Linked DNA regions of Nothobranchius furzeri. The protein of the gene in region 1 purifies or fractionates together with the protein of each later gene. This does not show direct contact. Links are inferred from orthologs where the notes say so. Each region holds a gene or a part of one and is shown in the gene's direction. Other genes may lie near its edges. The genes, in order: sox2, ilf2, cop1, supt16h, ssb, dnajb6b and sqstm1.

Region 1 (4,328 bases):
CTTCATCTATTTCAAAGATGCTTTAATCTGCGCATTTAAATGAAATAATTGCAGGTGTGTTGGTCTGTCTTTACTGGTCTGCTGCACTCGCAGATCCGGACGTATGTTTGGTGTTTGGAATAAAAATGATGTGAAATAAATATTTTTGTATTTTGGTTTAGTTTTTTTTATCTACTTTAACTTCTAACAGCGGTGATTTTGTTGTCTGAGAAAACTTTTTTCAGAGTTTGCGTGTAGTTCTGCGTTAGTCCAGTAGGCGGCACTGGTGTCACGCAGCACTGCGCCAAAGCCGCGAGGTGGACAGTCAGAATAGAAACAAGTGGCACCAAGCGCTGCAGACTCCAGAAGTTTGCTCGTGTTGGACTGTTGAGCTTTCTGAGAGTGTGTTGCCTTTGTGGAGAATCTCATGTCGCATTAATCTGAGTTTGATCAGAACTGAAGCAGGTAGAGGCCGCTGCTTTTCTGACTCCCTCACGCGCTTGGTTGTGTTTTCACATGAATCTAGAAACACTCATGTCCTTTTATTAGCCCTCCCTTTTAGACAACGGGTCTAAGCCGCCTGCAAGCCCCCAGCAGCAGCAGCAGCATCAGTGGAGTGGAGTTGGGGCTTTGTCCGGACAGATGTAGCGACAACATCCCAAACAAAACGCGCTTATTTGTGCTGATGAGATGAGCCCGTCTGCCTTGTGTGTGTTGGCATTCAACTTCCCAAAACAAAAGCTTTAGGTGGGGAGGCAGACATCTTGGATTACCTTTCCTCCTTTCAACACCCAAAACCAGCCCCCCCCCCCCCCCCCCACACACACACACACAGGGCTTTTGAGTTAACTAACAACGTTTACTTAAGTCTTGTTGTGCTGTTGGGCCCGATTGTGTGTGTGTGTGTGTGTGTGTGTGTGGAGGGGGGGGGGTGTTAGTAACTTTTTTGATTATTCTCTAACACTGACACAAGGTCATGCCTTCAGTCAGAAAAAAAAACAGTTTCCGGTTTGAATAACGTCACCAGTTGATTATTGTATTTCTTATTAAAAGATATTTCCGCCTATTTGCCTTCATTTCACCACCTAAACATTAGATTATTATGTCTGGATTAAAACTTTCTAACTCAGCCACAGCTGAATATAAGATAATTGTCATTTTTTTTGGGTCGTTTTATTAATTTTGAGGAATTCTTTCATCATTTGCACGTGCTACCTGTTCAAGAAAAAAAACTTTTTATTTATTTATAAACGTCCTATCAAGTTCGGCGTCACAGTTTTACTCTTCATAAATAAAAACACTCGCAAATGAGCTTCTATACGGACAGCAATGAGAAACAATAATGCTCATAGTACATGTGTACTCTGTGTTTGGCTCATAGGGCAGCCTGAGAGTGAGAGTATGCCCGTAAGCTCCGGAGCAGACAGGCCCCGCCTCTTTATGCTAATTAGGGCCTCCCATTGGTGTGTCAGTGGGGAAGGCCTGCTCTGATTGGCCAGGTCGAAGCCATTTATTCGATGACAGCCATGACATGGTTGTCTATTAACTTGTTCAAAAACTATCAGGAGTTGTCAAGGCTCAGGCGGGCAGAGGCGCAAAAGTACAGTTTGTTGATGCTTTTTGGAGGAAGCGAGAGAAGTTTTGTGGACACGACATAGCAGGGACCTATTGGGAGAAGGCTCTCTGTCCACACACACTCTCTCACACACACACACACACGCACACTCGGGGGACGGAAGAGAGAAGGGAGAGTGTGTGGAGACGCGGCTTGATGCTTGTTTTTGTCCAGAGAAAAGTTGCAGAGCAACCCGACAGGTAACTTTCAGCCGCTGCGCTCCTCGCTGCCTCCGGCTCCTGGAGTTTCTGTTTCTTTTTCTTTCTTCCTCTTTTTTTTTCGTCCTCCATTCGTCGGCTTGGAAGCACCGACTCAAAGCTGTTCCTGATGTATAACATGATGGAGACTGAACTGAAGCCCCCAGCTCCCCAGACCAACACGGGGGGCACGGGAAACACCAACACCACGGGGAACGGCACCAACCAGAAAAACAGTCCGGAGCGGGTCAAGAGACCCATGAACGCGTTCATGGTGTGGTCCCGGGGCCAGAGGAGGAAGATGGCGCAAGAAAACCCCAAAATGCACAACTCCGAAATCAGCAAGCGGCTGGGAGCAGAGTGGAAGCTCCTGTCGGAGAGCGAGAAAAGACCTTTCATCGATGAAGCCAAGAGGCTGAGGGCCCTGCACATGAAGGAGCATCCGGATTACAAATACCGGCCCCGGCGGAAAACCAAGACCCTCATGAAGAAGGACAAGTACACCTTGCCCGGCGGGCTGCTGGCTCCTGGAGGAAACGGGATGGGCACTGGAGTCGGTGTCGGGGTGGGGGCCGGACTGGGCGGTGGAGTGAACCAGCGCATGGACAGTTACGCAGCGCACATGAACGGCTGGACCAACGGTGGCTACGGCATGATGCAGGACCAGCTGAGCTACCAGCACCCGGGTCTGAACGCGCACAACCCGAGCCAGATGCAGTCCATGCACCGCTACGACATGAGCGCCCTGCAGTACAACTCCATGACCAGCTCCCAGACCTACATGAACGGCTCCCCCACCTACTCCATGTCCTACTCCCAGCAAACCACGCCGGGGATGACCACCCTGGGCTCCATGGGGCCCTCCTCGGTGGTCAAGTCCGAGTCCAGCAGCTCCAGTCCGCCCGTTGTCACCTCCTCGTCCCACCGGGCCGCTCCTGGCTGCCAAAGCGGGGACCTGAGGGACATGATCAGCATGTACCTGCCCGGGGCCGAGGTCAGTGACCAGAGCGCCCAGACCAGGCTACACATGTCCGGCCACTACCAGAGCGCCGTGCCCGGGACGACGATCAACGGCACGCTGCCGTTAACACACATGTGAGAGAGAGACAGACAGACAGAGAGAGAGAGAGTGAGACAGAGCAAAAGAACTTTTATAAGAGAAACTGCGGACTATAGACGCTGGACTATTTTTGTACAGAAAAATTTGGGGTGGGAAAAGTTGTATAGAAGTTTCCAGGAAAAAAGGACTCCACTGTTTCTTTTAAAATTAATTTTATTTTTTATTTTATTCTGAAGATGCTCTAGAGGAACGATAGGAGACCCCCCCCCCCCCTCTAAAATGGTGGATGGAGTTTGGAAATCTAGAAAGTGGGAGTCGCAATCAGATGTTTTATTATTGCAATCACCTTTTGTACAGTATTTATCAAAGAAACATTACAATCAGAGGGAATTGCTAAACTGCAAGAGGTTGCATCTTTCTTTTCGTTTTTTATATAAAGCGGCGCCAGTTCTGCAGAAAAGATGAATGAATAAAAACTGCAGAATTGGAATTTTTATCAGTTAGAATTACTGCAAACACTGGAATGAAAAGGGACATAAGAAGCAGGTAAAACTGTTATTCTTTTCAGTTTTTTCTCCATTTAAGGTCAACGTTACTAAACTTTTCTTTTATTTCTTTGAGAAACAAACGTGAGACAATTTTTTCTGTCATGCAACTTAAATTTTTAGCTAGTTAATTTATATTTCCGTCTCCCACTTTTCATCATTTAGCGGACATGACGCTTGTGCTCTTTATTTTTTTTATTGATTTGTACAATTTCTGTATATTTACTGTGACATTTGAAGTTTTTATTTCAAAGCTCATTCCCGTAGTTGTATTTTGAAACTCGTGGCCTGTACGCAGAAGCCACGCACTCCATGTAAATACCCCCAGACTAATACCATCCTTATAACAGTTACAGTTTCAGCTGAGTATATTTTTTTTCAATATGCGGTTTGAAATGAATAAATTTTGGAAATTTGGATACTTGAAATAGTTTGAGTTTTGATTCAGTTTCTGTCACGTTGAATAATTCGTGTGTTGAGTGTTTTTTTTTCATCCCGTCTTTTTATTTGGCATCTTTCGGGTGATTTCTGCCTTTTGAGAACAACAGCAGCTTTCTGGGGGGACGCTCCTCCTTTATTCCCAGCCTGTGCGTCGAGGTTAACCACGTTTCTTTCTTCCAGTTCCCGCTGGTCCTCAAAGACAAAGTTTGTTGCCTGGAGAGGTTTTTCCAGCAAAAATTCCCAACATTCCCAGGTACAGACTGTCATTTCTCTTCTTTGATATAAAAAGAGGAAAACGTTGAGGCAAACATTTCATCTTAATACGTTTAAAAATGCTAATAATTGGTATGTGGGGGGCCTTTTTTGGACTGGGGCACTATTTTTATTTAGTGACACAACTGAGCAGGATTTTCATTTTTAAATAATTTTCCCAGTATTTCCGTGTTGTTTCACTGCTTGTTTGTGTTTTGCTCCTATAAATCCCAGTTTTC
Region 2 (4,256 bases), on another chromosome or scaffold:
ATATCTGTTTGCCAGTAGCTTTATTTTTCAGGTTTTTTTTTTTGATTGGGGCTTTTTATTGGAGTGTGATCACCAGTGGGTCTTGCTGCTATCTGTTGATGCTCCATCTCCTCAATGTCTTCGTCCGCACATGCTTCCTTCATTGCCGCAAGGTTGTAGTCATGGTCGGAAAGACTACCTATTAGCGCCGCCATGTTAGTCATTTGATTTTTTGTGTTTGCTACTTTATCTGTCCAATAACTCTTCAAAAACATGTTCCACAGGTACCGATTTCCTTTCAATTTCGTTCTGAATAACTGTTTATCAGAGAATTACTTCTCAGAACATTTAAAACCCACCGTTTTATCAGACCTGCCAAGTTTCCAGCACCTGCTCACTCTGCCATCTTGAATTCCCCCTCATGCACCACTAAACAACAGTGCTAGAGGAGAGCAGCTGTCCGAAGTAAGATGGCTGCCGCGTACGGACGTCAGGGTCCATTGACGAACAGCGCAGGTGAGAATCAGTGCATCTTTTGTATGACAGAATGTGAAACTATTGAGCACCTTTTTCTTCTCGTGTTCAGTAACACTTGGTTTTGAGGAGGATGTTTATCGATTGGTAAATATTGAGAGAAATGATGTAATCTAAAGTACTGATATACATGGATGCTCTTCCAAAAAAGATATCCAAAATGGTGAACATTACCAAATACATAAGACTAAATGGAAAAACAGCAAGCCTAACATTAATCATTTTAAAAATTAAATAAAACAATTTACAACATCTCAAAGAGTATTTTCAGAAAATAACCAATCTATAACTGAGTTGTGCGAAACAATGTCTGAGTTTCTTGTTCTTTAAATTACAGTCCAATGAATCAAACATGTTTGAACTATAATGCTGAAATATCAACCTCTGAACGTTTTTTGTTTGTTGTTGATGTTATTTTATTTTTTGTTTTAATTATTATTATTTTGCATCATAATTTATTTTATGGTAGTGCCATGCGGTAAATGTTGCAAGTTCTAAATGTCATTTTTATTTTCCTCAAGTGCGGTCATTTGTATTTGTTATATTCTTCAGTACGTTGAATGTAGGTTACATTGTAAACTGAATGTATGTGAAAACGAAGATTGAAATAAAGTTAAAAAAGAGACTTGACCAGAAAGACGTGAATGAATAAAGTTACGCTATGGCAGCAGCAAAAAAATATACCAATAAATAAAAAAAACAGCGCATCTAGCTATAATATGTGATATCTATGCGGTCCACACTCCATTCCAGTTGGGGGCGGTAATGTACCACGGCGTTGGTGACGTAAAACAGAAAGAAAGAAACAATTCCGCCGGAAACAGAAGTCTCTTTGTGCCACACTAGTCCCTTCCGCAGTTAGCCTCCGCTCATTCATTAAACCATATCAAACCGTTCTCCCTGTTTTCTCTCATCAAACCATCAAAACGTCGTACGCAATGAGGTAACGCTGACTAACCGGACCTGGTTGTGTTGGCTTTACGCTAACTAGCCTGTAATCAGTGTCATTAGCTGTTAGCCATTAGCTCGGTATAGCTTTCTGTTAAAGTCTCGTTCTGAACGTGGTGTTACTTATTTATTCCTCCAATAACAGTGTTACTGATAACTCTTACGTTTTATCGACAGCAAGTTAACACTGAGGTAGCGAATTAGGACTATAACACACGTGTGTTAGCTAAGATCAGCGTTTTTATTTATCCTTTAGTCTGGCAGTAGCGAGCGCACTGGACTGATCTGGGTTTTGTGTTTGTGAACAGAGGAGACCGCGGCAGGGGCCGAGGACTCCGCTTCGGAGCCCGGGGAGGCATGGTCCAGGGGTGAGTACCTTACTGATCTCTGTTCCTGTTCCATACTGGTTCTTTCAGTCAGGTCCTTGATCTGGTTGTAGAAAGTATCTGACAGTTAGTCTTAAGTTTGCTGGTTCGATTCCTGCTTCTGGATGGAACTCGGACCCATAAGCCATCAGAGTAGAAAAGTCTAAGTGAGAAAGATCTTCAGAAGTGGAAAAAGAAGCCTCTTGTGATTACACAGGACGACGGCACTCTCCCCAGAACATCTCCAGAAGGACTTCTTCAGAGCAGTTAGATCTTTCCATCCTGTCTGAAAGCAGCGTCCTGTTTCTGTCTCTTTAAACTTCATTTTTTCCCAAATGAAACAATCCATTGATTTCTGGATCCTTAAAAAGCTGCTGTAAAGTCTGGAATCATCAGCTCATGTTGTGCGTGGTCCTGGTGATGAAGCTAAGACGGATTGTTGGTTATTGTGCTGAAGCAAAAAGAACCGCTGCCTTGGTTATAACTGAAACCTCCAAATCATTGTTAAAATCTACTTTTTGGGTTTGAACATCAGCTTTCATAAGGTCCCGGTCAGACGTTCTGGTTCTGACTAGTAGGGACATTTGTGCCAGTCCACCGATTCTCCGTTCTTCTCTCTGTCCCGCTCAGGTACCGTCCTTTTGTCCCGCACATCCCATTTGACTTCTATGTGGTGAGTTCACGCATGTGACAGACAACAGAACAGCATGCAGGAATAATCAGTAACCATGGCTACAACTAGCATCTGGTAGAATCCGGTCCATTTTGTGGTTCTGAAGCAGACTGTTGTCCTTCCCCAGTGTGAGATGGCCTTCCCCAGAGTGAAACCTGCTCCTGATGAGACGGCGTTTAGCGAGTGTCTGCTGAAGAGGAACCAGGACCTGAGCCCCTCACCTGCAGAACAGGTCAGCTAGGTATTCCAGTTCAACACCTCACTGGTCTCATCGTGCTGTAGGTTACTTACCTGACGTCTTCATTTCCTTCTGCTTCTAGTCTTCCATCTTGTCTTTGGTCACAAAGATCAATAATGTCATCGACAACCTGATTGTTGCCCCTGGTAGCTTTGAAGTGGTGAGTGGTGAACATCTGACCTGTAGAGCTGCCATGTTTACTGAAACTGGTGTAAATGAGTTGGTGTCAGTAAGGCTGTAATGATCTGTGTTTGCTGTCACGTCCTAATCTGGGATTAAATGTTTCTCTTCCGTCATGACCTTCCTAGACCTCCCACAGGCTGAGCTTTATGTAGCTGAGCGGTTTTATCTTTTAGAACGCATCAAAGCCATCCCGCATGCTTACGTTATCTGTCCACAGCAAATAGAAGAAGTTCGTCAGGTGGGTTCATACAAGAAGGGAACCATGACAACTGGACACAACGTCGCTGACCTCGTTGTCATCCTCAAGATCCTCCCTACACGTGAGTCATTGTTCATTCAGACCAGCCCTGGGTCCGTCACTAGGGCCTCATCCTGCTGGAACAGCTTCAACAGATGTTCTGGTGAAACCACTGAGCACATCTGGACTCGTGTTGGTAAATACATGGCTAGTCCCATCATGCAGCCCGACCGGACCGGCTATCCAGCAGCTAAGCTGTTTAGCTTTAGCCTCTTTAAGCTTAACAGTGATGACGAAACTCGTCAGACCGTACAGGAACTCGAGAACAGAAGTGTCTGAATCCTAAATGTGTTTATGAGGCAACTTGGTGTCATTTAAACCCCGAATACCGTCGGTAGAGTGGTGATTAATACTGAGTCCAGTGTTAAACACCTGGAGCTAAAGCTGACTCTGCTCTTCATGTTTAATCTAACAGTGGAGGCAGTGGCTGCGCTCGGGAACAAGGTGGTGGAGACTCTTCGCACCCAGGACCCCGCAGAAGGTACGGGGGTGGGTCTGTGTGTGTGTGTGGGGGGGTGTATCTGCAGCTCTGGACCTTACCTAAAGGCTGAAGTTGGTCAGAGTGCCCTCAAGAAACAGAGTGAGCATCTTTAGTGAGTTAATGATGTAATAAACACTAATGGTGTGTGTGTGTGTGTGTGTGTGTGTGTGTGTGTGTGTGTGTGTGTGTGTGTGTGTGTGTGTGTGTGTGTGTGTGTGTGCACCCGCGCTTTCAGTTCTCTCCATGCTGACCAATGAGACGGGCTTTGAGATCAGCTCAGCTGATGCAACCGTTAAGATCCTCATCACCACTGTCCCGCCCAACCTACGCAAGCTGGATCCAGAGCTGCACCGTATGATACACACACACACACCCACACATGCATACACACACACACACACATGCACACACACAGACACTCGTTTTTTAAGGACTTCTCCGTTTTAAACGGTTCTTTCCACTGAACCTTTGATCTCTAATCTGTACAAGTGGTGTGAGTGTGTAAGACGGTGTTTGGGTAGCCTCTGGACCGTGTGTGTGTGGGATGACAGAATCGT
Region 3 (3,685 bases), on another chromosome or scaffold:
TGTGTTCTGTTTCAGTATTGAATTTGACCGTGACTGTGACTACTTCGCCATCGCTGGCGTGACCAAGAAGATCAAGGTGTTTGAGTATGGAACGGTGATCCAGGATGCTGTAGACATCCACTACCCTGTCAATGAAATGACGTGCAATTCCAAAATCAGGTAAAAAATAAACGAATTCAAGAGGAACTGAGTTTTAGCTTTTAATCAGATCAGTACCCTACACTTTAGGCAGTGATTCATCAAATGACATTTTATTATCTCAAATTGAGGATCTGCTGAGTTTCCATATCAAAATGATACTTCATCTTCCATTGCAGCTGTATCAGCTGGAGCAGTTATCACAAGAACCTTCTGGCCAGCAGCGACTATGAAGGGACCGTCATTCTGTGGGATGGATTCAGTGGGCAGCGGTCCAAAGTGTACCAGGTGTGACTCATGCACAGCTTTTTACATGATGTTGGGTTTTTTTCTGCTTATTATAACTATGAATATTTTTGCTGTGACGGTTTTCTGAAGTTTGACTTCCATATTTTTAGGAGCATGAGAAAAGATGTTGGAGTGTTGACTTCAACCTGATGGACCCCAAGCTCCTAGCCTCGGGTTCTGATGATGCTAAAGGTAAAAGAGGATTTCATATGATTTATCTGGGGTTCTCGACCACCAGAGTTCTAAATGAAAAGGAGATTTGCACATGTACTGTTATTGTACCCCTTCAGTCACGAGTCAATAAACGCTCATATTTTCGGACTTTTTCCGCGATGCGTTCTTTGATCTGTTCTGTGTCTGCAGCTAAGTATATATTTTATACTTTTTGAGGGGGCAGTGGCGGGGCCGTTGACAAATTTAAAGGAAGTGGCATCCTGGCCAATCACAAGCTTGTGGTCTCCGTCACTTTTGACGGATATATAAAAATTTGGGCATGTGTCCAACACCCTCTGTGAGCCTGTTGAAGAGCCCTTGCAGCGACGCATAATGGCGTTGCGTGACTCAGCACAGACAGAGAAGTGTAAGGCCGGGGACACACCAGCCGCCGAAGCGCCAGGAGGCGAAGCGCTCACAAAATTTGGCCTCGGTTCAGACCAGACGCTTGTTTCTCCACTCCGGTCGAGGCGCGCCTCGTAGTTTTTCTTTTAACCACTTGGTGTCCTCCATTTCCTCTCTGCCTTTTCTCTGCACTTTTCCTCTACACCCCCCTCCCCCCTGCTGTTTGTATGTGTGTTTGTACGTGTGTGTGTGAGAACCTATGGTGTGAACCGGTTGTTAATAGCTGGCCTACGTCTTTCTGCCTCTCTGTCCTGTTTGCTCCGGTTGAAAGACACCCAAAACCACACCCCCTTCACGTGGTCACACACACACAAGTTCGCTGTGTGTGTGTGTTTGTGTGGTTTTTATGCAGTGTCTGTTTACGAACACAGTTGACGATCACGGAATTGTATTTTGAAATGCTTTATTTTGTTAAATTTACCGGCCTGCCTCATGTCTAGGTTTGACTTCCTGCCAAAATTGACGCGGTTCACCCGCGGCTCGCAAAAAAAATAGAGCAGGCGCCAAAACGATCGCTGCACGGCGTGGGCTGGAGCGCCGGCGCTTCGGCAGCCCATGTGGTCTACAGAATAGGATAACAAGGGCGCCGAATGAAGGCGGTCCCCTTTTCGCGGCGCTTCGGCGGCCGGTGTGTCCTCGGCGTTAATCAGACTTAATGGAGGCAGGTGATTTGCTTTTCCAGCTGTCTGGTTTAAAATACCACCAAACGACAGACTTTTTCACCAGCCAGTTAAGAAATTTCTATCTCGGAGTGAATTTAAAGAGTCGTGTTTTTTGTTTTATACGGGTAAATCTGATCTTTTCCACCTGATTCCAACCCTGTTTAAATCGTGTGATCGGTTCACAGCATCCCTCAGAAAAACTTAAAAAACATCAACAATGTATAAATTTAGCATGGGGCTCCGCTGCTTTTTTATCTAAAGTGTTTATATTGTTTACCTGTTTTTTTTTCTTTAGTTAAACTGTGGTCAACCAACCTGAACAACTCAGTGGCTAGCATCGAGGCTAAAGCTAACGTCTGCTGTGTTAAATTCAGCCCAACTTCCAGATATCATCTGGCCTTCGGCTGTGCGGGTAAGACGGAGGACTGGTTTTGTTCAAACACTCCAAACTGATTCTAACAAAAGTTTTCCTTCTTGAATAATGTGTTTGTGTAATGTTGGCAAACTTTAAACTTGTTTCTCTCTCATTTTGATGTATTATTATTGTGGTACTCACCTCCCACCACTGTTATTTCCCCTTGAAGATACTAAATTTCATCTGTGGTTATGCTGACTCTGGTGGTCCAGACAAACTTCTGAAAACTCTGTTCATTAGTACCCCACAGGAGAATAAGAATTGTAATAAATATTCAGGTATGCAAAGGAAAGTATTTCCCATCACTAACACTGGATAACAGCTTAAAACAAGCGGAGCAGAACTCTGTTGCTGAGAGTTGTCCAGGCTCGTTGACACTTCAGCGTGTGTGTCTGAGGTCCACTGGCAGAAAGCCGCCTCCTGACCCTGGAGTGGTCGCTCAAGGAAGAAAAACTTCAGTTTGAAAACAGTTTGGAAAGAAGGAACATTTCTTATTGGAAACGCTAACTTCAGCACAAAGCAGCAAAGACATTGCATCATAACTTTACTGTGTTACAAGAATAAAAGCCCCAGATTGTTTATTTTTAACTCGTCCTGCTTCTAGATCACTGCGTCCACTACTACGATCTTCGCAACACTAAGCAGCCAATCATGGTGTTCAAAGGCCACAGGAAGGCCGTGTCCTACGCCAAGTTTGTAAACGGAGAGGAGATTGTTTCTGCGTAAGTCACTTAGGTTTACTTTCAGCCGTTTTTACTGGGATTTATTTTGAAAACGGTGAATATCAGAAATTATTAACTGTAATTTTAATGCAGTCAAATGTTCATTAATAAGGAACCTAAGTCACGCCCATCTGCTTCCAGACCATGGGTCCCCAGAAGAACGACGATGAAGATGCAAGTCAGCGGGGCTAAAAACCTATTTTCTCATCCCGCTTGCTATGTTCCATGGATTTCACATATGGTGTCCGTGAATTTTAAAGACGCGTTTTTTTATACCAATTACGTGCTTATTTTTGAACGGGGGTACATTTTATTTTAGGTTTTGTGTGAAAATAAGTCCAGGACTGCAAATACGCTTCACAAAAGTGACACCATCAAACCAGACACTGATGCTATCAGTAGCTTTAGCAGCAGAGAGAGAGGTAGTGCCAACTCAGCGACTTTGTCGCTGTTCCTAACGCCTCGTGACAAAGCTAGCTACATTTCTGAGGACCCTTAGCAACTTTCTTCTAGATAATTCCTGCAAATTAGCAACAAACTAGCCCTTTGAACATCTTAGGTGTGTTCTTGCTGTGCGTTATTTCTAATTCCATGTCGTCGTTCTATTTTAAAACACAGAAACGGTTTTGTTACATGTTATTGACGCTACAGTTTCGCCGACGGCTGCCGGCTTCTTCAGGCTGGCGCTGACAGCGTCCATCAGCGTCAGCCTGAAGAAGCCGGTTGATTTTGAAGCCTGAAGAAGCCGGCAGCCGTCGGCAAAACTGTAACGTCAATAACGTAACAAAACCGTTTCTGTGTTTTAAAAAAGAACGACAACATGGAACAAACTAGCCCTTTTT
Region 4 (3,685 bases), on another chromosome or scaffold:
GACGAGAACGACGCCGAGGAGCTGCTGGGGAAGGGAGCCCGTGGCGCCGCCCTGCTGGCAGACAGAACCAGAGTGAGTGTTGCTGTCCGTGTGGTCATGTGACCATCTTAGGATCTTCTCTGACTAAGCCTGTGAATGTCTTTGTACTCTATCAGCTACTTGGGAAGGTGAGTCCGTGTTTTCCTAAAATAAGCTGACTCAGAAAAGGAAAAGATGAGATGAGAAAAAGTTCATCTGAATTTGAGTTTCTGTCTCATTTTGGTTGTTTTTATTTCATTTTCTCATCTGAATCTGGCCGTGAGGTTTTCTGCATGTGTGTTGTGCCCATCATCCCAAACGCCGCCCTCACGCGTTTCTGTTAAAACGCTGTTTTTAAACAAACTCAGAACGAGATGACGGCGGAGGAGAAGAGGCGGGCTCACCAGAAGGAGTTGGCCAATAACCTGAACGAGGAGGCCAAGCGACGTCTGACGGAGCAGAAAGGGGAGCAGCACACCCAGAAGTGAGAGCGGAGCCTCGCCCTGCGCTGCTTAGCGCTCGGATATCTAGTTACGCCTCTGCTCGTTCTTCCAGGGCCAGAAAATCCAACGTGTCTTACAAGAACGTCTCTCAGATGCCCAGAGAGAAAGAAATCAGGGAAATGAAGATTTACATCGACAAGAAGTACGAGACGGTCGTCATGCCTGTTTTTGGGATCGCAACGCCGTTCCACATCGCCACCATCAAGGTCTGATCAGGGTTTGCACCTAAAGCTAACCGATTAGTGTTTGTTTAATATAAACGCATCATTGTCGTTGTGTTTCACGTAGAACATCAGTATGTCTGTAGAAGGAGACTACACCTACCTGAGGATCAACTTCTTCGTCCCCGGCAGCTCTCTGGGACGACAGGAAGGAAACATCTTCCCCAACCCGGACGCTACCTTTGTCAAAGAAATGTGAGACTTGTTTCACTCCTGTCTGTCGAGCTGAGTGGTGTGTCCTAAACCCTTTTCAGATGGACGTTCTGGAATATGTGCGGACAATTGAGTCCGGTTTTTAACCAGAACTGTGTTTTCAGACACACCGCTTTTGTACCCGAACTTGTCCTTTCGGCTGCCTTCACACAGCAGGGAAACGTTCCAGATGTCGGGGGGGGGGGGGGGCTGTACCCGGATATTGCGTAAACATGGTGCGGCGGGCGTACATGCATCATTTACCCAAACAAAGCCATTCAGTCAAACATGGCCGACGAAGAGATAGAATTCCTCTCACTGATCGGACTTATGTTAAGCATAACTCTGCGCACACACATAAGAGACCTGGATGATGAAGCTCAATGGTTAAAGGAATCACTGAAGCGGTGTGAAGCGCTCCGTCGCGCGTCTAGATGGTACCGTAGGAGGCGAGCTGCCGTGGTTCGCCGCATGCTACAGGAGCGGGCTATCTAGGTGCACACAGCGTCCCCCGGTCCCCTCCTCCTCCTCCTCCTCCTCCCTGTCCGGAGCTCGACCTCACCAGTCTGAAGCAGTCACCCTGTCCGTGACGAGTCTGGACCTGTTACTAGGGGTGTCTGGCGGTTTAATTACAGAAAACATTATCAGGTGTTTGTATTTGGACACAAAGGTCTTACGGACAGAGTCCGGAACATTTCCGTTTTTCATGGCCTGTCTGAAGGGGGCTCTAGATTCTAGTACGCACCTTAAGGTTAGAGATGCATAAAAACCAGTTACCGTGGGCGATCTATTTCCTCTGGTGGCGTTTGGACTGACACGCCACAGACTGAAGTGGTTCCTAATCGGTCTGTGGAGGCTGACCAGAGTTCTTCATGTGAGATTTAGTTCATTTCCAAACTTTATTGGCCTTTCAATGTCACTCGCCAGTATTCTGCACCACAACTGGTTGAAGCCACACTGGTGTTGCGTTAACAGGATATTTTCACTATTTGACCCCCTTGTTTTTTCTTTTAAACAGTGACAGAATAATCTGAAGGCTGCCTGTCATTTTGACAGATTGCAATTACCCCCCCCACACACACACACACACACTCATGCAGGCGTGCAGTTATTTTAAACGTTACAGAAAACGTCGCAGAGGTAACAAAATCAATCTGGATGTTCCCATCAGAGCATCTGAGCGCTAGCTTCCAGTTGGACACCATTCGTAACGCATCTCGCTGTTGATGGCGTGCTGATGAGCTGTGGGTAGGATGTCTGAGCATGGATTCATCCTCCAGAACATTTAAACATCCATGATTCTGAGGCTGAGGTCCAGAACCTCATGGCTACAGCCTCTTCAGCAAGCTGCTTGGAGACCAGTTCAGGCTTACGCAGAGCAGAAGGAAGGAGTCGGAAGGAGTTCAGACCACAGCGGGAGGCGCGTCCCTAAATCCTGTAAAGTTAATATGTTGCTGGGGCTCTCTGGTCAACGTGGACTAAATATTAATTAGACATGAATCAAAACTAAGTTTTTATTATTTTATAAATAAAAGTGACGGGGGAAAATCGATCATGACCATCTAATCTGCCAATAGCAGATGATTTTTCCCCAGTGGAGAGGCTAACCTTTATTCCAGAGGATCAGGTAAGATGTTCAAAGGTCTGAAGCATGAATGAGGACGCCAGTGAAGGCTCTGATGAGGACTTTGTAAGATCCAGATGCATCTGAAGGAAACGTTAAAGGGTTTCAGCCGTAAATGGTGTTGGATTGTAGACAGAGAACTTGTGGACTATTTTATCAGAGGACATTAATCGAACACTTGTTGACATAAAGCCTTTTTTTTTTTGTTTCAGAGGGGTCGGCTCTGTCTGACATGTTTAGTTATTTCACATTTTTGAGCAGGTTGAGTGGCCTTTACTGTGTCTACAGTTGTCCTTTTAGTCATGAGAATCCAGATTTTTAAACACGTATAATGTGCATAAGTGCAAAACGCCTCTTGATTTTTATCTTGAGAAGCGCTATATAAAATATGTTTCTTCTACAGAGTGTTGTAAAAGACACTGATTTTGCCTGGAAGTAGCGAAATTTCCCATAAAAGAAATCGTTTTTAATAAAAGCATCGCTGAAGGGCTGGACTCGTCATCGATGGTCATTAAGTTAGTCCAATCACCCAACCTTAACACGAGTCGTAGATCAAGACTAGACCTCCATTCCTCACTAGGATTAAATCTTATGGCAGTTTTCACACAAACCAACAGCTGAAATAGTTCAAACACACTCTGTTTATTCATATAGCACCAAATCACAGCAAGAATCGTCTCAAGGCGCTTCGCAAATTCAACATTCTAATTCAGTTCAGTTCATTAACTCATTTATTACCAATGACGACAAAAGTCTTCTTTTTAAGTCCAACTGTTCGCCGTCGTTGACAACTATACTATATGCATTATTTTACTGTGTGGGCGTCGGAACGAGCCCCCGCACCGTGAGAACAAACATCCCAGCTCTAAAGCTGGTCTTCATCATCCGCGTACGTCACACGTCACGTGATCAGGAAGCAGAAAATCCATGCGTTAGGAGATCGTTTTGGGCCGCTGCTGTAAAAAAAGTGAGGAGCGAACTGAAAAAACTGGAACTGGTAAAGCGTCTGCCATGAAAGGACAGATAATGCTAAAAACAGGTGGATTCTTCCTGATGTAAAAAAAAAAAAAGAACTCTATCATCATCATCATCATAGAGCACAATGTTCTGTTGACTCTTTAAAAAAA
Region 5 (4,128 bases), on another chromosome or scaffold:
TGCTACGACACAGAAAGAGACGAATGGAGACCCATTTCAGTGATGAAAGAGAGGAGGATGGAGTGTGGGGCTGCAGTGATAAATGGCTGTATTTATGTAACAGGGGGTTACTCCTACTCAAAAGGGACCTATCTGCAGAGCATTGAGAAATATGACCCAGAGCTAGACTCATGGGAGATTGTGGGGACTCTTCCCAGCCCGGTCAGATCACATGGATGTGTCTGTGTTCGTGGGGTCCAGTGACATTTATCACAGGTGTTTATATATATATATATATATATATATATATATATATATATATATATATATATATATATATATATATATATATATATATATATATATATATATATATATATATATATATATGTATATATTGTATATATATGTATGTATATATATATATAATTTCACAGTATTCACTACTTTGCAAAGGTTTATGCACAAACCATGTCAAGTTTTCATTGTGGAAGTTTTTTGTAACAACATGGTTATCCAGTGTTTCACTTAATCCTCAGGTATCTCTTGAGAAGTATGAAATAAAGCACAACTGTTTCATAAATCTTTTAAAAGCATTTTTATTTGAAAAGTCACTGGTCAGTAACACATAAAATAAATCACAACACTGATAATGGGATGTTTGCTTTCCAAAAAATACTTTTAAAGTCACTTGTATTTCTATAACTCTTCAAATGTATTGATATGTGAGTATTTGGGATCTTAAATTTTTCTAATAAGTTTGTAAAAATAAGTTTATGTGAATGAACTTCCAGCAACAAAGCATTTACAGCTGCTTTACAAGAAGATGCACAAGATGGTTTGTGAGTGTAAAAATAGTAATCATTGCAGCTTTTGTTTTGAACTACAAGAATATTTTAGAGGGGAGTAATATAAAAAGCTGGTTGTTTCTACAAAACAATTTGTGAGACAAAAACATCTTAATAGAAAACATAAATCTCTGTGATCAAGTGAAGATTTATTTTCTTGCTTGAAAACGAACATAAGTTTAAATTTTTGAATAAAATAAAATAAAATAAAATAAAATAAAATAAAAAGTGAAGAAAATCTACATTTGTGTTGGAATGTTGCATTGCAGCGACAGCTGCTGGGCACAAGCTGCACGACACAGATTGCGACGCACGAATCGAACTGCCGTAAAACTGCGACCTCCTCGACACTTTTTGGCCCTCGATGGTTTCCGTAGCACGCAGTCCTACAACGTGCCAGCACGAAAGGCAAGCTTTTGCGGTTTCAAGTTCCGAAAGTGCAGTTTGATCACAACTGTGATAACGTAAGTAAAACATTTGAGTTAGTACAATGTTTTATGGCGTTTTTCATTTAACTTGGAATACGTTGTTGTAGATTAACAGTACGTTTGAGCAGCACGCTACTGTTTGAACGCAACCACATGACGACGTTAACATTACAGACCCAATGTGTGTCCCCAAAATGTGCATTACGGTGACAAAACACGTTTTGTTTGTTTATTACAATACGGGTCATGATTCTGGGTGGTTCTGCTTCTAAATTAATATATAAACCGTAGCCGGTTTGCAACTCCTGAGACAAGCTAGCAGGTTTAGCTGACGCATGGTAACTGAAATGTAACTAGATGTGAGACAGCTGCGTGACACAAATTAATAAATTAGATTTATATTAGCTTCCAGGAGTTTTCTTAAAACGAATATTATCTGTACATTTATGGTAATTTGTAAATTCCGTTAGATTCATTGTAGAAATAGGTAGGCAGTGGCTTTTATTCACTGTTTCTGAATCAGGAATAGTTTATATAAACATGTATTAAGCCCTAGGGGACCCCATGATGTTAGTTCCTTAACAGGGCCAAAAACCCCTCGCACTACAGAAGAAATAGTAATAATTGCCATCAAATTAATCAGCAAACCCAGCACTACATGGCTATCTAAACTATTTTTACCATTAAATACCATTTTTACCATTTTTCGAAGAATAGTCTTCAAAATAGACCTAGGCCTTAAGGGGTTAATGTATCGCAGAGGCAACAGTCTACACCATTTAGTTTTTAAACATTTAAATGTCTAATGAAACAATTGAGAGGCTTGCATGCCAGATATATGATTATACAAACCATACCAGTTTATGTGATGAAAACAATGAGTGGTTATAAATAAAACATGGATTTTTTAAATAGGTCAAATTGCAATTCATCTAAATTTGTCTCCCAGTATTTCAAATTAATAAATTTAATGATCAGCGTTCGTACCATGGTACCTCTGAAAACTGGGACACATGCCCACATGTAAGAAATTTATTTTTAGAGTTTGCTAATTATTTGCAATTTCATTTCCTACAGAAAACAATCATGGCAGAAAACCAAGATCAAATGACCCCCATTGAGATGAAAGTGGCACGCCAACTGGAGGTAATTGCTATCAAACTTCTGTCATCGGCTCTCTGCTGGATCTGTAATCTTCACTTAACATCTGTGAAGCGTAGTTTGCCATTACAGTCAGTGGGTGTGTTTCAGCTGGCTGTGAAGCTTTTGGACATGTTGGACAGAAGTGTATTTTCGCGTCACTCTGCCATTTGCTGCTTTCCACCAGATGTGTAAGCAGCACATAATGTAATAGACACGTTTTCCTCGCGAGCTCAGCAGCTTGTCTCTGACCACTGGAAGTGTTTCAGATTTTTTATTTTATGCGTTCCAAGCTGCCCGTCTTGCAAGGTCACAAAATTGCCACAGAATTGCAAGATCAAGCATGATTTCGGCAGTTCATGTGACAAGCAGAGAGACAGCAGCATGTGTACTAAAGGGCCTCGTTTATTTTCTTTGTGTTGTACCTCAGCTATGGAGACTTTATATGTAATATGCATTTATTTATTTACTTATTTATTTACTTACTTTCTTACTTACTTACTAGTTAAGCAACTGCAAATCTGCACATGTTCTATTTTGAAAGTTGACGGATGTTTAAGTTTACATTTGACTTCCTGTCCGTTACAATCTGAACTGCTGGGCTTGGTGCGTCCTGGAAGTGTAGTGCATGAGAAAAAAAAACTCAATGTAAAGTTAGTGGAGCGATGTGATACTACGCTTCTTGGACACTTCCAAAACGCACCGCTTAGCATCAGGTGGGAACACACCCGATTAGGGTTGGGCGACGGGACGAATTAATTGACCGTCAGCGACGGGCTGAGTCGTTACGATTGTTTTTTTTTTTTTTACAAGAGGCGATATGTTCATTTATTTATTTGCCCATGATGACGTTTGTTAATGACAGATATTTTACACGTTACACACAGAGAACACCGCGGAGGTAACAATCATGACGAGATGTCCATCAGCGCATCTGAGCATCATCTCTCTCTTTCTCCGCCTCTTTAACTGCTGACGCGGAAGAGGAGCTCGGAGAGCGTCTGCGACACACTTGACAATGTGAACAAGAGAGCAATGTCAAGTAGAAACCCTTCTATCTTTCTCAGAGAGTCTGGAAGACTTCTGGTTATTTCATTTGGAGACATTTTTCCCGATTTTAAAACTTTGGGCGAGTGGCACTCGTTATTCTGCCCCTGCTTCGAGTGTGTTAGTGGAGTGCAGATTCATCCAGAACAACGTTTAAACATCCATAAGTCTGAGGCAAAAGCCCAGAACCTCATAACCTCTCCAGCGAATTCCGTAGAGACATTTGAGTACGCACAAGCTGCAGGTGACCAGCTCAGGTTTACGCAGAGCAGAGGAAGAGTGCGTTCAGGCTGCAGCAGATGAATTGTTCCTAATTTAAGTGGAATTGTTAAATTGCATTGTTTATGTTACTGGGACACTTTGTTCAGCTTGTTTGAACTAAATATTAATTAAAATGAATGGAAATGTAATGGTACTGAATAATTATTATTATTTAAAATAAACAAAAGCAATGGGGATAAATGGATCATGTGACTTCTGGCTGTGCTCCCTCCTCAGAGTGTGTCAAAATGCAGCAGCAATCCATTTCATTTCATTTTCTCAAAGCCAGAAAAATAAAAATCAGTGTTTAGACGACTTCTGTGTTTGCAAATCAGTCCGTGCATCATGACGTCACATGCATGAATGAATCGTCCAGCCCTAACGCCCATCGACTAGAATCACAGCTCCATACTATGCTTAGCGGA
Region 6 (3,685 bases), on another chromosome or scaffold:
AGACGTCTTCAGAATCCTCTACAGACAGTTGAGAGAGGCAGATCAGGTTCCACTGTTTCCAGGAGTCCATGATATGCCCAGCTGGCTCTGTCCCAGAGGGGCAACCGGGAGCCCCTTCTCCCGTTCTCATCGTTGAAAAAATTTTGCAATCGCTTTGAGAGACCAACTGACCAGATCCATGTTCAATAATTTCCAGTTTTCAGAAAAACTGCAGAAGCGCCTTACACCCAAAGACAGACAAAGAGCCTTGGGATGAGATGGGGAGGAGAGGTTGAAAAAAAGCGTCTGAACTCTACAAGAGCCGGAAGAACAACAATATCAAACATGACCGCAAATAACAATATCAAACGTGATTTCCTTCTTTTTGGTTTAATGACGGACGGCATAAACTCGAGGAATTTTGTGTTCTTGCGAGTCGAGCAAGGAGCACAGCGGAGAAGCTCACGGCTGAGACTCTTGCGATGTACACTGGAGTGCAGCGATAGTCGCGAGTAAACTGTTCCGCTGCCATTCCACGCCGCTGATGCCTACAGTGTGCCGTTGGGGTTAGTGTCACAGAGCTCTTACAGCAAAAGGAATATAAATGAAGACTCAGAATAGCTCTATATAATAATTTATTGGTGATGAGCCAATCTGAAACTCAAAGGTCTGATTTATTTATAGTTCTTCTCTGAGTGCATCACTGCCAAACGGCAATAAAAGGTAAACTTTTTCTAACACATGAACTCACCATTACTTGTAATAACATGTGGAATGTTTTTGCTCTCCTGGATCAAACCTTTCAAGTTAATCAGAGTTTTAAAAACGTTTTCTGTCAGGGTGTGCGTTGGCAAGAATCTGGTGATGCAGTATTTATCACATTATAGGGGAAATGATAAAATATATCGCAATACTAAAGTCTAGATACTTTCAATTAAGATTGAATCTAATTGGAAAACTCAGGTTAGGCGCTTCCAAGACTCATCAGTGTTATCGTGAGATCTGATTGTTCCGTCAGAATGAAGGCGGTAAAATGTTCTGCCACCTACCTGTTGGAGTTTGAACTGCACCACACAAAACAAATTCTAATAAATGTTCATATGTAAATTCTCAATGAAATATTAATGCTCTACTTTTAAATATGTATTTCAGTGTATCAGTATTTTCTTACGTCACATAATTAAAGTTCTTTGAGCTAAATTGTTGTTTGGAGATCAGAACTGTACAAGAATAAAAGATCGATCAGAACCAGCATCTGTAATCGGTTCAGCGTTGTTTAAAATAGCTGAGATTCCTGAAAACGTGTTTGTTTTATTAGTTTATTAAATTTAATGGGTATTGAGTTACAGCCCAGATGTCAGGTTGTTATGCTATCCTTGACGATATTCAGGCTGAACAAGGACTTCTCTGATGAGACCCAAAAACTGGTGTGTTACACAACCATCATCACCAGCTGTCATTGTTCAACTTGTTTGGCTATTTGACCTGTAAAACGGGCTTTGCACAGCAAGATAATATCACAGATTACAGCAGAGCTGTTGAGTAGACTATAGGGAGCAGATCCCAGGACTATCCGAAGCTTTTTTCTTTTTGCTGGCTGAGTTTTAGTCTCTTGTCTGCAGCTCCTGCTGCTGCTGCTGGGCTCTGACACAAACAGCTGATGCAGCGTAAGCCGCTGTGCAAGGCCCACGCTGCTCACCGGTGCAGTTCAGGCTGTCTTTGTTAAATCTGCTTGGGTGGAGAGGACTGTCTGTGCAGATTTGTGTCTGTGTGTGCTTAGTGTTGTCATGGCTGCTACTCTAATAAAAGACCTGCGCGTGGATCTGTTTCTGACAAGAGGTTGTCTGTTACACTTGAATCCACGTGATTAAAAACGCAAATCCTCTCACATAATAAAAAAAGAATAAGTATAGAAACTGTTTAATCAGAACCACAGTTACCTGGCATAAAAATGAAGACGTCACAGTTGGGAAACCTTTCCCACTCATCATTCCCGTCAGGTTGAGGTGTGGACTTTGGCTCTCCTTGATTGGTTTCTTTTTCGGTTATGGTGCCGTAGATCTGCTGATAACAGCCTAGACAGTCGTTTCCTCAGATTGCTGCTGTTTGTCATCTTGGCAAAGTTTTACCACCGCTTGTTACAGAACAGCAAATGTCCTTTTAACAGAGGTGCTCATAAATATAATTAGTTCTGACTCACAGATTCTTTATCAAAGTCAGTTTTGTTGGTAAAGGTTAATGATTGTTTCTGATTGTAATCAGTCACTGAGTTTATCATGCAGGCTGAACATGAAAAGTCTCCTACACCCATCTCCTGCTTTAGTTCTGATAGAAAACAGACGATGAAACTCTAGGATTTAAAAATCCTGACAGATCTACGTCACACCGTCACTTAACATTCATGGACTCACCCATCTTGTCTTGCAACAGGAAAGCATCTTGGCTAGTAGAAGCTAACCATTAGCAATTCCACCTCACAGCAGAACTCCTTCAGGCTTGTGTTATTTGTGGACATAAAACATCAGTGTTGCGATGCAAACAGTTAGTGGCAGAGTTGTGCTGCTATCAACCAATCAGAGACGATATGTCCAAATATCAGGAAACTGCTGCCTTTTTCTTCTCTGGCTGACTTGTACATCCTCAAACAGGAGCATATGAGCGTTTTTCCACAGAGCACGACTTACAAGGCATTAATGCCTACTAGAGACCACTGCAAATGTATTAAATATGAGTAAAGTTTACCTTTAGATTTATAACAATGTAAGATTAGAGATTGGTTTTGTATTAACTTCATTCTGACCTCTAGTAAAGAATTTAGGTTCATCATTTCATCCCATCATCTCTAAACATTCTTTTAGGACATATTTATAGTATTTAACTTATTCAATTCTATTTGTGTTCAAAGCATTTTTTTTTGTTCCTCAGTTACAGAAAATTAGCTCTGAAGTGGCATCCAGATAAGAACCCAGACAGCAAGGAGGAAGCAGAGAAAAAGTTCAAAGAGCTGTCGGAGGCCTATGAAGTCCTTTCAGATGGTAAAACTCTACCTGCATGTATATTTTTAAACCCATCAGCACTCCAGATATTCTGTTTGCATGTTTCCTAATTTGTGCTAATAAGAAAATGGAGGTTATCCTTATAGATTTTATTGAGGAAAAGTTTAAGGGTTAATTTTTCTAAGATTAATTTATTAACGGTGTGTAGTTTTTAACGATTTATTTCTGGAAATATTCATCAAAATGTTGTTGAAAATGAATGAAATGATGCCCAGCTGTTGAAAAATATTGGCGGCTTCGTAACATAACTATAAAAATCAGGTCTAAAATATATGGGAGTGGGTCGAAGGCTTGGTTTATGCTTGACACATTTACTTTCCGCTTGGTGATGCGGCTCGCGGATGGAACGCTCTTCACAACTTGCAGCGTTTATGGTTCATGCGGCTCGTCTCTGCGGTGAGCCAATATTCTCCCAAACTGTAGGGGGCAGCATGAAGCTCTACGGCATGCATCCAACACTACACCATAGTAGAAGTAGAAATTACTGTTTACAACATGGCATTCCAGCATTTTTAACAGCGTCCTCGTCTTTTCCGACAGTGCGAGCTATTTCTCTCCAAGAATTATTAACAACATGTTGATCACGGTGATCCTTGAGAGCTGAATCATACAAATGTCTGTGTTTACGAACCTCTGCCATACTAGTTCTT
Region 7 (4,290 bases), on another chromosome or scaffold:
TGTAATTCATGACGTTATCGTGATGTATCTTAGTTGTTTGAAGATCTTCTCTGTAAACATGACAACCAAAATAAAGGATCGATCAATCAATAGCCTGGTGCTGCCCAGGATAGAGAATTGCTTTGGATTGATCCAATCAGCTGGTTTCTATTATAGAAGCAACTTTGACTGATTGGAGATGTAAAACCTTATGGACCTGATTCTGGTGCAAGGTGTTAACTGGTTTAAATAAATATTTGTCTCAATGTCTGTAATTCATTCAGTTACCTGGTTTAAAAGTGGATTCATTTGGCTATTAATCAGTCTCACTGGAAGAACCTCACTCTAGCTCCAGGATGCTGAGAGCACTGATGCATTCTGGGATTGTTTAACTTTGTTTTAAGAACAAAAAGAAATCCAAGCATGCATGTTTATCATTGGACCAAAGCAATAAAAACAAATGATTACAATTAAATAATTGAAATTAAATGTTAAATTAATTTTACCTTAAGGTTGTTGAAACCTGATTATGTAATCAGAGCTCTTTATACAATGTAGTCAGAAAATATTTAGCTAATTCTTCCATTAAAAATCTTTGATTCTATAAATTGTTTTTAGTCAAGCTGACAAAACTGAATAACAGTTTCAAATGCAGTGACTTTCACTACATTGACCTTTAAAGGCTTTAAATGAGAGGTTTGGGTGGTTTTCAGCTTCATCTTGTGATTCTGAGTCAGCAAGTCATATGACTCATGCTGCTGCTGATTGGCTGCAGCGGCTGGGTGACATCACAGATGCAAACAAACATTTGATCAAAACAGAAGCTCATGAGACATTTGAAAAGAGTGATGCAAGGATGACTCAGGTGTTTGAGGAATACTGAGAGTTTGACTTATGTTTTACATTTCATATCCCATCTAATTGTTTACAACTGGACAGCAGAAAATCAGCTTGAATCTGGACTGATTAGAGCAGGATTTGCAGATTGCTTTCGTTTTAGCTGTAGATTAATTCTGTAAAAGTGTGTATGGGTTCTTGACTCTGTTGTAGTAATTACGGACTGGGGTTATCTTCAGCAGATAATTAACAGAAAAAGCATGTCGGGGTTGAAACCAAAGCTCAGTTAAAACACACACAAACATGCATGTTTATGTTTCTCTGCTGGATTTCTAGACCTGCAGTTGCGTTCTCAGCTGGATCCACTCATTTAGGATTTTCATATTTTTTTATTAATAAACTACAAATCAATCACTTTTCTAACAAATAAAACAATGTGCCACGTCACAATGACTAAGCGGCTTTCCCAACTAACACCTGCTCACGTGACTAGTTGGAAAGTCCCTCACCGTGCTGTGTAAAAAGATGTTTCTAGACGGCAATGGTCCCTCATTAGCGGAGCTCAATGAGGACCAATGGGAGGCTGTGTGCGTCTTTACGTCATCTTAAGACGATGACATAGAATGCGGAAGTAAACATAAAAGAGGCTGAAATTTACCGCTGCGTCACAAAGTTCTAGAGTTTGGTTCTCCGTTTGGTTGTTTTTCTGTCTCTGTTCGGAGTTTGGTTCGATTGAGTTCGTAATGTCGGTGACGGTGAAAGCCTACTTGCTGGGAAAGGACGAGCAGGTGAAGGAGATCCGCAGGTTTGCGGTGGACCAGGACGTCTCTTGCAGCTTCGAGTACCTGAGCAGGAAGGTGGCGGCAGCTTTCTCCAACCTGAGCAACTTCAACCTATTCTACAAGGGTGAGGCGCTTATATCAGAGCTGGTTCTGTTTCAACCCAAACACTGACTGGATTTCTGCTGCGTGTCTTTCTGGTTCTGGATTGTTTTTAATATTCTGATGAATGATGTTTGGTGCCACCTGATCTGTGCTTGGACTTGATGTTTGAGTTATGGTGTTTTAGATGAAGATGGAGACCTGGTGGCCTTCTCCTCTGATGATGAGCTGATGATGGGACTGGGTTTTGTCAAGGACGCCACCTTTCGCCTCTTCATTAAAGGTAAACAAGTCGTCTTCCTGTTATTTCTTTGTAAGGTTCCATCTGACTAAAGTTTTGTTGAACTCTTGCAGAAAAGAAGGAGCACCGCCGGGACTTCCCTCTTCATGCATTCCCCCCTTTCGCTTTCGGGCTCCCTCATCAACATGGACCTCCTCATGCCCCACCTCCTCACCCGGGCCCGCCCCCTGCCGTCCATCCCAACGTCACCTGTGACGGCTGTGAGGGCCCTGTGGTCGGAACGCGCTTCAAGTGTTCAGTGTGTCCAGACTACGACCTTTGCTCCACCTGCCAGGCTCGAGGGACCCACACTGAGCACCCTCTGCTGCCCGTGTGGCACCCTCTACAGGTGAGTAACCTGGATGACAGGTGTCAGAGCTCAGGTCACCACTGGCAGGTGTCAGAACAAGTCACATTTCCTGATTAAAATGTGATAAATCGGTGGTTTTCTTAAAATTTTATTTAGCAGTGGTTTCCTCGAGGAAAATGGATGAAAAAGATGAAACACTGCACGTGGAACCAGCACATGGCCCAGGCACAGACCCAAAACCAGGACCAGAACCAGAAGCAGGAGCAAACCATTCCCTCCAGCTCAGCATCTGACTGCAGCACCTCCTCTGGTAGGTGATGTGAACAGATCTGTGTTTATGTACAAACTGGTCATCAGTCAAAAGGAGTCCAACTCAGAGCCATTGTCCAATAACAGAGACTGACCTCTGACCTCTGTAGCTTCTCAGGTCAGCGTGAACTATTTGAAGAACATTGGCGAGGGCGTGGCTGCCATGCTGAGCCCACTAGGTGAGTTGTTTTACCTGGAGATGTTTTTAATGTGCAATAAACAAGAGGGAACTCATCCTAATACGCACACGAGTGTCATTCAGACATTTAAAGTCATTTTAAAGTGCTGTTCTGTCAATTTAGATTCCAAACTACTGTTTCTAGGAATAGGAAGTCCTCTGACCAGAGCATTACTTTTGGCTAGCTGGATCTGTGACATTAGAAGCTAATTTCCAGGATTAGCCAGAAGAAAAACCTCAATGTCCTGCTTTTCCTAATTGGCTGCTCCACTTGGGCAGAGTGAAAACCCAATGGCACACAGGCAGTAGCAGTAGCATAGTATTTCAAACGTTATTAGAATAAAACAAACAGCATAAACTAAAGAAACAATCTCATGTAAAATTGTAGGGCTTTAAAAACTGCTAATATAGCGTGCTAACGCGTCACTATGGGTTGTTTTTAAACACCAGAAACGATGTATTATTTCATTACCAAGCTGACTAGTTAGCCTCTGTTCAGAGGAGCACTTTGTTTCACCTTCGGTGATGTCACCTGCAGGCAGTGTCTGTACTGTAGATATATGACCTATTGACCATCCCTTCAGAAAGATCAGAATATCACATTTAACCGTTTCTATTAAACTTCCTGACAACAGAATCCTGATGAAGTAGGGACTTTATCTGTGCATGTGCAGGTATTGATGTGGACATCGACGTGGAGCATGAGGGGCAAAGGATGAAGGTGACTTCACCTACTCAAGGTGAGGAAGAGCAGGGTGAAGTGCAGATGGATGTGGGAGCTGGCGAAAGTGGAGCCAGCAATGAAGGTGGAGCAAAGCAGGGGCCAAAGGTCAGTCTTCCTCAGACAAAAACTAATAGATCAGTCTAATTAATGACAATTACTGACCAAATACACAAATCTGCAGGTGGGCCGAGATGAAGATGATGAGTGGACTCATCTCAGCTCTAAAGAGGTTGATCCATCTACAGGTGAGCTTCAGTCGCTGGAGGGCCAGGGCTCAGGCCCAAGTCCAAGTCCAGGTCCAGGTCCAGCTCCTCTGTCAGGGACCGAGGAGGGACCCACAGGTCTGCGGGAGGCAGCTCTTTATCCACACCTGCCTCAAGGTGAGTTCAGATTCTGCGGTTCAAGTTTTTTTTTTTTTTTGGTAGTCCTGTCCCTATTAAGCCCCTCCCCTTTGTCCCCCACAGAGGCTGACCCCCGCCTGGTGGAGTCGCTGGCGTCAATGCTCTCGATGGGTTTTACAGATGAAGGCGGCTGGTTGACTCGGCTCCTTCAGGCTAAAAACTTCGAGATTGGAGCTGCACTCGATGCCATCCAGTACGCCAAGCAGTCCCACCCACGCCAGTGACATCATTTGACTACTTTCTGTTTTTAGTCTGACAATTACCTGTCCACACCTAATAACTAATCACTTTTCTGTGTTTACCTTTTATTAAACTTTTGATTTGTTTCTAATCAATAAACGCATTTTAAAAACATGACTCTGAAATGTCTACGAATCGACTCATAACAATC

What was found.
Region 2: the proteins of sox2 (region 1) and ilf2 purify together in Homo sapiens (affinity purification with mass spectrometry; 3 studies listed by BioGRID and IntAct, with this or other methods). This does not show direct contact. The link is inferred for Nothobranchius furzeri from reciprocal best matches to the Homo sapiens genes SOX2 and ILF2.
Region 3: the proteins of sox2 (region 1) and cop1 purify together in Homo sapiens (affinity purification with western blotting; 3 studies listed by BioGRID). This does not show direct contact. The link is inferred for Nothobranchius furzeri from reciprocal best matches to the Homo sapiens genes SOX2 and COP1.
Region 4: the proteins of sox2 (region 1) and supt16h purify together in Homo sapiens (affinity purification with mass spectrometry; 3 studies listed by BioGRID and IntAct, with this or other methods). This does not show direct contact. The link is inferred for Nothobranchius furzeri from reciprocal best matches to the Homo sapiens genes SOX2 and SUPT16H.
Region 5: the proteins of sox2 (region 1) and ssb purify together in Homo sapiens (affinity purification with mass spectrometry; 3 studies listed by BioGRID and IntAct, with this or other methods). This does not show direct contact. The link is inferred for Nothobranchius furzeri from reciprocal best matches to the Homo sapiens genes SOX2 and SSB.
Region 6: the proteins of sox2 (region 1) and dnajb6b purify together in Homo sapiens (affinity purification with mass spectrometry; 3 studies listed by BioGRID and IntAct, with this or other methods). This does not show direct contact. The link is inferred for Nothobranchius furzeri from reciprocal best matches to the Homo sapiens genes SOX2 and DNAJB6.
Region 7: the proteins of sox2 (region 1) and sqstm1 purify together in Homo sapiens (affinity purification with western blotting; 3 studies listed by BioGRID, with this or other methods). This does not show direct contact. The link is inferred for Nothobranchius furzeri from reciprocal best matches to the Homo sapiens genes SOX2 and SQSTM1.

Annotation. Positions count from the first base shown.
Region 1 is NC_091748.1:72,770,818-72,775,145, reverse strand, and holds sox2 (transcription factor Sox-2), read left to right. Parts: upstream 1-1,433; 5' UTR 1,434-1,921; coding exon 1,922-2,890; 3' UTR 2,891-3,813; downstream 3,814-4,328. UniProt on the Homo sapiens protein: Transcription factor that forms a trimeric complex with OCT4 on DNA and controls the expression of a number of genes involved in embryonic development such as YES1, FGF4, UTF1 and ZFP206. Binds to the proximal enhancer region of NANOG.
Region 2 is NC_091751.1:23,258,142-23,262,397, reverse strand, and holds the start of ilf2 (interleukin enhancer-binding factor 2 homolog), read left to right. Parts: upstream 1-1,298; 5' UTR 1,299-1,451; coding exon 1,452-1,456; intron 1,457-1,769; coding exon 1,770-1,829; intron 1,830-2,456; coding exon 2,457-2,499; intron 2,500-2,626; coding exon 2,627-2,731; intron 2,732-2,819; coding exon 2,820-2,897; intron 2,898-3,137; coding exon 3,138-3,240; intron 3,241-3,633; coding exon 3,634-3,699; intron 3,700-3,934; coding exon 3,935-4,051; intron 4,052-4,256. UniProt on the Homo sapiens protein: Chromatin-interacting protein that forms a stable heterodimer with interleukin enhancer-binding factor 3/ILF3 and plays a role in several biological processes including transcription, innate immunity or cell growth.
Region 3 is NC_091751.1:60,919,373-60,923,057, forward strand, and holds part of cop1 (E3 ubiquitin-protein ligase COP1), read left to right. Parts: intron 1-15; coding exon 16-159; intron 160-317; coding exon 318-426; intron 427-536; coding exon 537-618; intron 619-2,001; coding exon 2,002-2,118; intron 2,119-2,725; coding exon 2,726-2,843; intron 2,844-3,685. UniProt on the Homo sapiens protein: E3 ubiquitin-protein ligase that mediates ubiquitination and subsequent proteasomal degradation of target proteins.
Region 4 is NC_091742.1:80,398,673-80,402,357, forward strand, and holds part of supt16h (FACT complex subunit SPT16), read left to right. Parts: coding exon 1-72; intron 73-386; coding exon 387-502; intron 503-573; coding exon 574-727; intron 728-809; coding exon 810-937; intron 938-3,685. UniProt on the Homo sapiens protein: Component of the FACT complex, a general chromatin factor that acts to reorganize nucleosomes. The FACT complex is involved in multiple processes that require DNA as a template such as mRNA elongation, DNA replication and DNA repair.
Region 5 is NC_091754.1:20,313,091-20,317,218, forward strand, and holds the start of ssb (lupus La protein), read left to right. Parts: upstream 1-1,173; 5' UTR 1,174-1,291; intron 1,292-2,332; 5' UTR 2,333-2,341; coding exon 2,342-2,401; intron 2,402-4,128. Other genes in the region: klhl23 (kelch-like protein 23), read left to right, coding at 1-243. UniProt on the Homo sapiens protein: Binds to the 3' poly(U) terminus of nascent RNA polymerase III transcripts, protecting them from exonuclease digestion and facilitating their folding and maturation.
Region 6 is NC_091747.1:47,502,059-47,505,743, reverse strand, and holds part of dnajb6b (dnaJ homolog subfamily B member 6b), read left to right. Parts: intron 1-2,904; coding exon 2,905-3,014; intron 3,015-3,685. UniProt on the Homo sapiens protein: Has a stimulatory effect on the ATPase activity of HSP70 in a dose-dependent and time-dependent manner and hence acts as a co-chaperone of HSP70. Plays an indispensable role in the organization of KRT8/KRT18 filaments.
Region 7 is NC_091741.1:64,353,406-64,357,695, forward strand, and holds sqstm1 (sequestosome-1), read left to right. Parts: upstream 1-1,328; 5' UTR 1,329-1,559; coding exon 1,560-1,722; intron 1,723-1,884; coding exon 1,885-1,980; intron 1,981-2,051; coding exon 2,052-2,326; intron 2,327-2,443; coding exon 2,444-2,597; intron 2,598-2,706; coding exon 2,707-2,775; intron 2,776-3,448; coding exon 3,449-3,603; intron 3,604-3,679; coding exon 3,680-3,878; intron 3,879-3,962; coding exon 3,963-4,123; 3' UTR 4,124-4,256; downstream 4,257-4,290. UniProt on the Homo sapiens protein: Molecular adapter required for selective macroautophagy (aggrephagy) by acting as a bridge between polyubiquitinated proteins and autophagosomes.